2 linked regions of the Caenorhabditis elegans genome follow. The protein of the gene in region 1 binds, or shares a complex with, the protein of each later gene. Each region holds a gene or a part of one and is shown on either strand. Other genes may lie near its edges. The genes, in order: crn-5 and exos-2.

The links.
Region 2: crn-5 (region 1) and exos-2 share a complex: the UniProt entries of both Caenorhabditis elegans proteins name them as parts of the RNA exosome complex.

Annotation. Positions count from the first base shown.
Region 1 is NC_003280.10:10,590,565-10,594,212, reverse strand, and holds crn-5 (Exosome complex component RRP46 homolog), read right to left. Parts: upstream 1,462-3,648; 5' UTR 1,452-1,461; coding exon 1,248-1,451; intron 1,202-1,247; coding exon 1,035-1,201; intron 988-1,034; coding exon 714-987; 3' UTR 622-713; downstream 1-621. Other genes in the region: C14A4.6 (MARVEL domain-containing protein), read left to right, coding at 1-52, 98-222, 280-469, 516-562; crn-3 (Exosome complex component 10 homolog), read right to left, coding at 1,655-1,788, 2,510-2,813, 3,239-3,648. UniProt on the Caenorhabditis elegans protein: Non-catalytic component of the RNA exosome complex which has 3'->5' exoribonuclease activity and participates in a multitude of cellular RNA processing and degradation events. Involved in apoptotic DNA degradation.
Region 2 is NC_003282.8:6,413,906-6,418,220, reverse strand, and holds exos-2 (Exosome complex component RRP4 homolog), read right to left. Parts: upstream 2,744-4,315; 5' UTR 2,719-2,743; coding exon 2,579-2,718; intron 2,518-2,578; coding exon 2,349-2,517; intron 2,304-2,348; coding exon 2,076-2,303; exon of another isoform or gene 1,969-2,075; coding exon of another isoform or gene 1,768-1,968; intron 1,721-1,767; coding exon of another isoform or gene 1,604-1,720; exon of another isoform or gene 1,568-1,603; intron 1,494-1,567; coding exon 1,338-1,493; intron 1,144-1,337; coding exon 1,015-1,143; intron 968-1,014; coding exon 878-967; 3' UTR 761-877; downstream 1-760. Other genes in the region: Y73B6BL.23 (uncharacterized protein), read left to right, coding at 1-18; Y73B6BL.22 (Nitrogen regulatory IIA protein), read left to right, coding at 1,604-1,720, 1,768-1,968. UniProt on the Caenorhabditis elegans protein: Non-catalytic component of the RNA exosome complex which has 3'->5' exoribonuclease activity and participates in a multitude of cellular RNA processing and degradation events. Involved in regulation of antisense ribosomal siRNA production.

The sequences.
Region 1 (3,648 bases):
GGATCTTTGACACTACTCATCTACCTTGGAACCATCAAGTTCCGACCACCAGGTTCGATTTTTGTACTAAAATTTCTCGTAAAACCTCTTTTTTCAGGAATGTCAGTAATTTGGTTCACAATTGGATGCTCCATCGTCTTCGATATTTGCACAATTGCAGTACTTCTCAAGGAGTACGATATCTCAATAATGGCGATTCGAATGCTACCGTATGCAGCAATTGTAAGTTCGGGCATCGATGGGGCACACGTGAAACTACACGGAAATTTGAATTTCTAGGAATGTATTGGATCGATTCTTGCAATTATTTGCTATGTTATCTCCATGGCAATATCGATTAGTAGTGAAGAAGTGACTGATGATTTCGGATTTTTGGTGGTCGCAATTTTTTGTTTTATTATTGCACTCATCCACGTGTTCAATCTGGTTGTAAATGTTCGAAGATGGAATAATGGATCACATCATTTGAGTGAGATTTTTTTTCTTATTTTGAAAATTCACCATTTTTATTTCAGATCCGGCTGGAGTCTACGAATATTCAAATTATGGATCTGAAGCTTAACCTATTCTTAAATACCTAAATACCTTCTCTTGTCACATTTCTACAAAAACTTCGACTTTGAAATTTAAGATTTTAATATCTCACAAAACAATGGATTCAAAATTAAATAAAAAATTAAAATCAACAACGACAACAACAAAACATTGATAATCTATTGCTCATCAACCGAAAGCTTCCTCTTCATCACAGTTTTGTAGAAATCAAAAATAGCACTGGCAGATGGTTGTGCCAATGACCACGCGGCTTCCAGCTGAATAAAATCCCAATGTCCTATAGCGTCCATCGCACACACTTCTGGATGTCCATCGGATCCTTTGCACACTGAAAAGAGCACTCTTCCAGTCGATGCAGCTTCTTGTTTTGCTGTCGGATCAATAATCAGCTCATCTTTGACACGAACAATAAGGACACCACAGAAGACTGTTCTGAAAAATTATATTACAGTTTTAAAACAGTATCTAAAAAAACTTACTCGAATGGCATTCCATTGTCAAGTAGAGCAAAACAAGCTCCATTTATCGCTACAGCTCCCATACTTCCATCATCCTGAATTCCATGTACTGTGACAGAAATTGTTGTGTGGGGAAACAATTCGAGATTGATTGCATTGGATAGAGTAGAATGAATGATATTGTTCAGCTGAAAAAAGAATTATTCCAAAAGTAATTTCTACAAAAACCCCTACCACATTGAACTTGTTATCTCCACAATTTGCTCTATAACTAATATCCAGAGTCATAGCCTCATCACTTGCTTTCGAAGCGTGAACATCTCCAGGACCACTGCATGAAGCCCAAATACACGTGGCACCCTGGGAGAAGCATGCCGAGCCATCCGCGTTTTTGAGGAACGAGAGCTCACAACGCATTTCACGAAGTCTGCCGGCCATTTGGGGATATCTGAAATCAAAATTAATCACAAAAATGAATTTTGTAGAAAATATAACTGAAATTGGTGGAAAACCAAATTGAATTAAAAATAAATAAATAAAAAGATTTCAAAAACAGTTTTCTTTAATTTCAAAGCAAAAGAAAAAGCACAACAACAAAAAGTAAAATAACAATGGTAATGGGATGGGATGTAACAATTTAATCATTTTTTGTAGTTGATGGTTCCTTGTCGATTCGATGATTTTTTCATAGCCATATTCTTCTTTGTCTTGTTCTTCAATCGATATTTTTGATGGAATGGATCGAAATCGGCGTTGTTGTCTCGAACAGGTTTTTCTGGAAATAATTTATTAGGAATTTGATTTCGAGACTTTTTTGAGAGCTATATAATTGGGTACGGTATTATCCAAATTTTGAGCCAGAAAACGTTTTTTTTTTGCAAATTTGCGGTTCTTTTTGGAATTTAACGAAAAATTGATTTTTTGGTGTTTTTTTTTGGTATTTTGAATTTTTTTTTTTGGGTTTTTTAATAGCTTTTATTGGCACTTCGACGAATAACATTGATTTTTTTTTGGGTTTTTTTGTTGGAATTCAACAAAAATTGAAATATTTCTTGTATTTTGACGAAAAATTGATTTTTTTGTTTTTTTTTTCAGACCAACAAAAATATTTTTTGAAAAACCAATACATTTTCACATATTCACGATTTTTTTGAAAAATAAATTCAAGCATCAACTTTTTTTGGTTTTTGTTCGTTTTTCGCAAATTCGTAAATTTCAATTTTGGTTTTTTGTTCAAAAATATTTTTTGTCCCAGCCCTGGTGTGCTCCTTTAAAGAGTACTGTAATTTCAAACTTTTGTTGCTGCGGAATTTTTTTTAGTTTTAAATTTATTTATTAAAAAACTAAAATAAAACCGAAGAAAATTTCCCAGTAACGAAAATTTGAAACTACAGTACTCTTCAAAGGCGCACACCATTTTGCAAGTTGTCGCGACCTGGTACCGTATTTTTAGCCTTAAATCTCGCGTCTGGATAATTCAAAGGAATATAACTTACCAAATGCACTACTATCAGCTTTTTCATAATCAAAATCTTCAACGGGAGCATCATCATCAGATTTTTTCTTTTTTGGATCTGAACTACTCGACGACTCGCCGAGCACAACAGAAACATCTATATTTCGTCGAGCAGCATCTCTCTTTCTTTTCATTGCCTTCTTTGACAGTAGCTGGTCGTCGGTAAAACGAGATGGATCGAAGATTTGAGGTTCCGATGAAGATTCTTCCATTGGTGAAGGTTCTGGATCTTTCGGCTTGTTCGGATCATCTGGGACCAGCTTCAGTGTATCAACGTTTAGAAGCTGAAAATTATCTTATTAAAACCAAGGATGTCATCGGAATTTTTAAATATATTTTTTTTCATTTATTTTTTTTTTGAGAAAATCGAAAAAAAAGAAGTTTTATTTTCTGATTTTTTCAGAGAAAATCGAAAAAAAATTCATTTTTATTTATTTTTTCAGAGAAAATTAAAAAAAGATTTTAGTGATTTTTTCAGATAATTTTTTTTTAAAGTTTTTTTACTAAATTTTTTTCAGAGAAAATCGAAAAAAAAAAATTTTCTATCAAATCTGTACGTTTTTCCGCCGAAAATTTTTTTTTAAGAATAAAGCAATCTCTGAATTCCGTATGAGCAATACCGATTTTGGAATTTTCTTTTCAGACATTTTTTTTCGGTTTTTCCCAAAAAAAAAAACGATTTTTTTCAGATTTCATTATATCTACCAACCTTCGCATCGAATTCAGGTTTTCTATTAATCGGAGCATCATGATGTGAGAACATAGTCTTCGGTAGATCACCTTCCTCCAATTTCTTTCTCTCAGCCTCTTTTCTCTCTTCTTCTTCTTGCTTTTCTTTTGTAATCATCATCATTTGATAACATTCAAATGGAGTTACAAATTTGTCAAGTTCATTCAACAACTTTTTAACTTTCTGATTATCCGATTTCTTTCCTTTTTCCACAACAATCATAGTTTCCACACTTGGAATTTCAGCCGTTTGGAGCACTGATAACAATGATTCTTTATGATCTTTCAGCTCGATATCCATTCCTTCATCTGTCTTATCAATATAAATTTCTCCGCGTTCTTCGTCAAATCTAGTGTGTGAAAAGTCGATTTTTGATTTTAAAACTGAAG
Region 2 (4,315 bases), on another chromosome or scaffold:
TGGTACATCTCTCCATGAATGATCTCCCTCTTCAGCTTCTCTCAATCTGTCATATTTCTTATGCCTGCGTGGCTCCTCATTCTTTCTCATATTGTCAGTCCCATCATACCCGTAATCAAACCCCCCCTCATTCAATTTTCTCTGTACCGGTTAAGAAGTTCTAACATTGTATTTTCCATGATTCTATATCAGGAGCTGTTTTCCCATTATTAATCCATAATATGATCGAAAGTTATTCACCATCGAGAATTAGAAGTTCGAATTAACTTCACATTGTTTTCTATGAAACGTTCATCCGATCCTCGTTTACCATTCGATCCTTTGTTATATTTTCCCATTTTTACTGTGCCCAACACCTCATATGCATCCTTTTAGGTTAGAAGTCTGCTAATTAGCAGCATAATTTTTGAGCTTTCACTGAATGTCTGTCCCATGCCTGCTCTCTCTTTTCCTTTTTGTTGTTTTCCTCTGGTCAATGTTTCAATTCTTCCTGGTTTTTTTTGAATCACAATAAACACTTTCCAGAAAATCGTCTCGATTCTCACTTGGTGGATTGAAAAGCGGATAGTGTGAATCGAAGTATATTCACTGAAATTGTTCGGTCATTAAGTTAGAATGTGGAGTTCAATTGAAACAATTCCTAGATCAAAAAAATTTCTGTGCGACCTTGGGTTTGCAAAGATTACGGGTCGATCGTTTAATTTCAGGGTATGGACCATTTCTTTCGAAACTTTCAGATTTTGTATCGCAGCTAATATCATCCGAAAAAGTAAAAAGTTTTATTTAATTGAAATGGTAAATAAGAAACTCAACAAGAAATAACAGCAACAAAAAAGGTAAATTTTAAATAGGGAGAGATCATTCAAAACAATTAGAATTACTTCTGCTGTTGAAGTTCCTGTAGAAGCCGTGCAGCAATCAGGTAGGCGAGTCGAGAAGACGTGTCTTGCTCGGCGAGCTCTTTGATCTGAAATTATTTTTCTAATTTTTTAAAACTGAAGAAACAATCGATACTTCATAAGGCTGACTCATTTCATAGCATGTTGTCAGTGAATTGAGGTAGATCGAGATGGAATAATCACGAAGAAGACGAACACAGGCAGCGATTCTGACCATAGTTACGCGTACGTCGGGAGGTACAATCTGAAATTTATTTTATTGCGAAAAAAGCCAAATTTTTTTGTTTTTCTTTTCGATTATGATGATCACGAGTATGATGAATAAATTATAAGGTCTCGTCAATCATTGGAATTATTATAATTTCTCGTTGTTGAGTCACCAAATATGTGCGCTAATTGTTATTTTCGATTCATTTTTCTCAAGAATCACTATCACACCTGAAACTCGTGAACATGTGATCCATCCTCTTCAAGTGTGGTCTCCGGCAACGACGGCGTGACCCACACACTTCCGTTGCAGCCAATAATCACAGCCATTCCGTAGGGTAACGTGTGAAAATGTTTCTTGGACTTTTTGATCAAATGTGGAGGAACCTGCAAAAAAAAGAAATTAATTCCGTGACTTCCCACTCATTTTGTGGATTTTTTTGTCGCTTTATTTATTTTGGCAGCATAAACAAAAAAGAAATATTGCTTTGAACGAGATGTCGCATAAGAATGAGAAAACTCAACACTTTGAAAAGGCGGAGGATATTCGTACAAAAGTGCTCGATTCAATGATCTACCGACTCGATGAACGTGCAAATATGGTTATCACGGAGGTTAGCTTTTCATTAATTTTTTTTGAAATAGAAAATTATTATTAAAGAGCCCAATTCCCGAATGGCGTGCTTATACACAATGGATTCTCATTGCTGCGTTGCTTGTAATTTTTTGTATTCTTCGTTATGGCGTCGAGACTGTTGAACTGCATCCAACTGCAAAGAAGGATCAAGATCCTGTGATTGAGTACAGAGATCGAGAATTGAATAAAACTTCTGAGGCTTTTAGAGCAAGACGCCGTACGTGAGCTAATTGGAATCAATTGGATGATGAATTTAAAGAAATATAACAACTTTCCGAACTATTATTTAAAAATTTATAATTGCGTTTTCTTAAGATTTTATAAAATATTACCTTAATCAATATTCCTTGTTGCAATTTTCCGTACTTATTATTTCTTGTGTGTAGCATAAGTGTTCCGTCGTGCTGGACTTGTTGGACTTCTGCACAGATCAGTTCTCCGTTTTTCAAGAATTCGCTCATTTTCTCCTCATCTTCTACATCTTTTCTGCGAAAGTCTCCTCCTGGCAGGAGAACTGAACCTAGTGGAAGATTTGCATGAAGACGAGATGCCACATCACACTGAAAAACAATTATCGTTATATTTTTCACTTAAAAATTTGAAACCTTCCACCGTTTTGCTTGAACCTCCACGACACGGGCAACTACAACATCTCCGACTTCACCAGCATATCGTTGTTTAATAGTTTTAACCATCAACAGTCGATTTAATTGTTGAACGACTCCAGAGAGAGAACTGACGATTTCTCCGTCGCGAACGTAAGTTCCATGTCCTCTGAAAATCTTAATTTTTTCATTTTTCAAAAAGATATAACAGTATTTTACAATATACATACCTCATAAACTGTTGCGGTGCATCACAAACTGAATGTCCTGGAATAACAATTTTTGTCTCATCAATATCATTTCTTGCTTCGGACATTGATAACATCATCCATGGTGATACGAGGGGTGGACCGGTGACTTCGAAACTCATTTTTTAAATTTTTTTTGTCTGCAAATAACCAAATTTAAATAAACTTAAATTAAACAAAGAAACTGAAAAAAGCTTTCATTCGAAATGAAAATAAAAATAATTATTTCCAACGACACTCCGAAATGACGGAAAGCGTGCTGTTTATCGTAAACCCACACGTCACTCAATTGGCGCCTATTCAAATGTTGATTTTCGACCATAAAAGTGCGAGCCAATTGAGCGTGCAAATTTAATTGTTTCTGCTAAACCAATGACGATGAAAACCCGAAATTGAAATAAAAATAAGGTTCGACACGAAGCCATTGTCTGACTTTTTATAAAGGTGTCATTGGAAGGAAGTGTGAGTTGAATGGGACACCTATAATTTCGACTTGCATGCGAACGGGAAAAATACAACAAAAGAGGATACGTAGAAATATATTGGAGAAAAACTGAGTATTTAAAACAGAAGTAAAAATCGTAAAGGAAAAATTTTCAAAACTTTGGTGGTTTATTGTGCGATTTTTAAATATTTCCTAGATTCCGATTTTGCGGGTTTATGTACTCTTTTTTATTTAGGTTGACTGTAAAAGTATTCTTCTCCATCTAAAAATTAAAAAAAAAACATTTTCAGACGGTAGACGGTCATGTGGAACTCTTAGAAAAAAGTTTTGAAATTTTGAAAAAATTGAAAAAAAATCAATGTTTCTGAAAAAACATTTATAAAGTTACCATTTTCTGATTAACAATGTTCGAATTTTCGAATTGGTATTTCTTATTTTGATTGAGAGTTTTATGAGAAGTATTGAAACATATTTTTGATATTATTCTTAAATTTCGTTAAAAGTTATTAAAAATGCATATGTACCCGGAATATTGTAATTGAGCCAGTATTTGAACAACTTCTCAAGAACTTCAACTAAACATTCGGTTAATTTCAGGAAAATCAATATTATTTCTTCTGTTCTATTCATATTTCAGATTGAAATCTTTCACAGAACAGTGCAAATTTCCTAAAAAGAATGTGTCGCAAAAGAAAGGTCCACATATTTTTCTAGCAGTTGTACACTTGCTCCATATTCGAAGCTCATTTTTTATTTTTTGTTTTATATCAAAAATTGTTAACTGACAACTAATTGACTATTTACTTTTCTAAAATTTCCCATAAAAATAGTAGTAGGAGTCTTACAAAAGCTCCCAGAAAAATTTGTAAAAAATCGAAAAAAAAAAACACTGTTTCTGATACACTATTTACAAAATTGTGGTTCATCGAAAACAATGTTTTCAAAATATTGTATCTAATACATCGAGGCATTGATTAATTTTAGAAGTTATAACTTGGTTGTCTTTAAATTTTTGAACAACTGTCAACTGGCAACTTATTGATTATTTAATTTTCTAAAATTTATCAATTTTACAGTTTGTAAACTGTTTTGAATGAATTGAGATATGAGCTGTTAAAGTATGATAGTCAGGTGCAAGTACTTATTTATTTTGTCATTTCATTTTTTCGTAGTTTTAAAATCGCTAACCAATGTCTAGAAAACTTTATACAAAATTATCCATAATTTGCATTATCAGAGCCCTTAATTTCCCACAAAAATTCGGCGAAAAATGT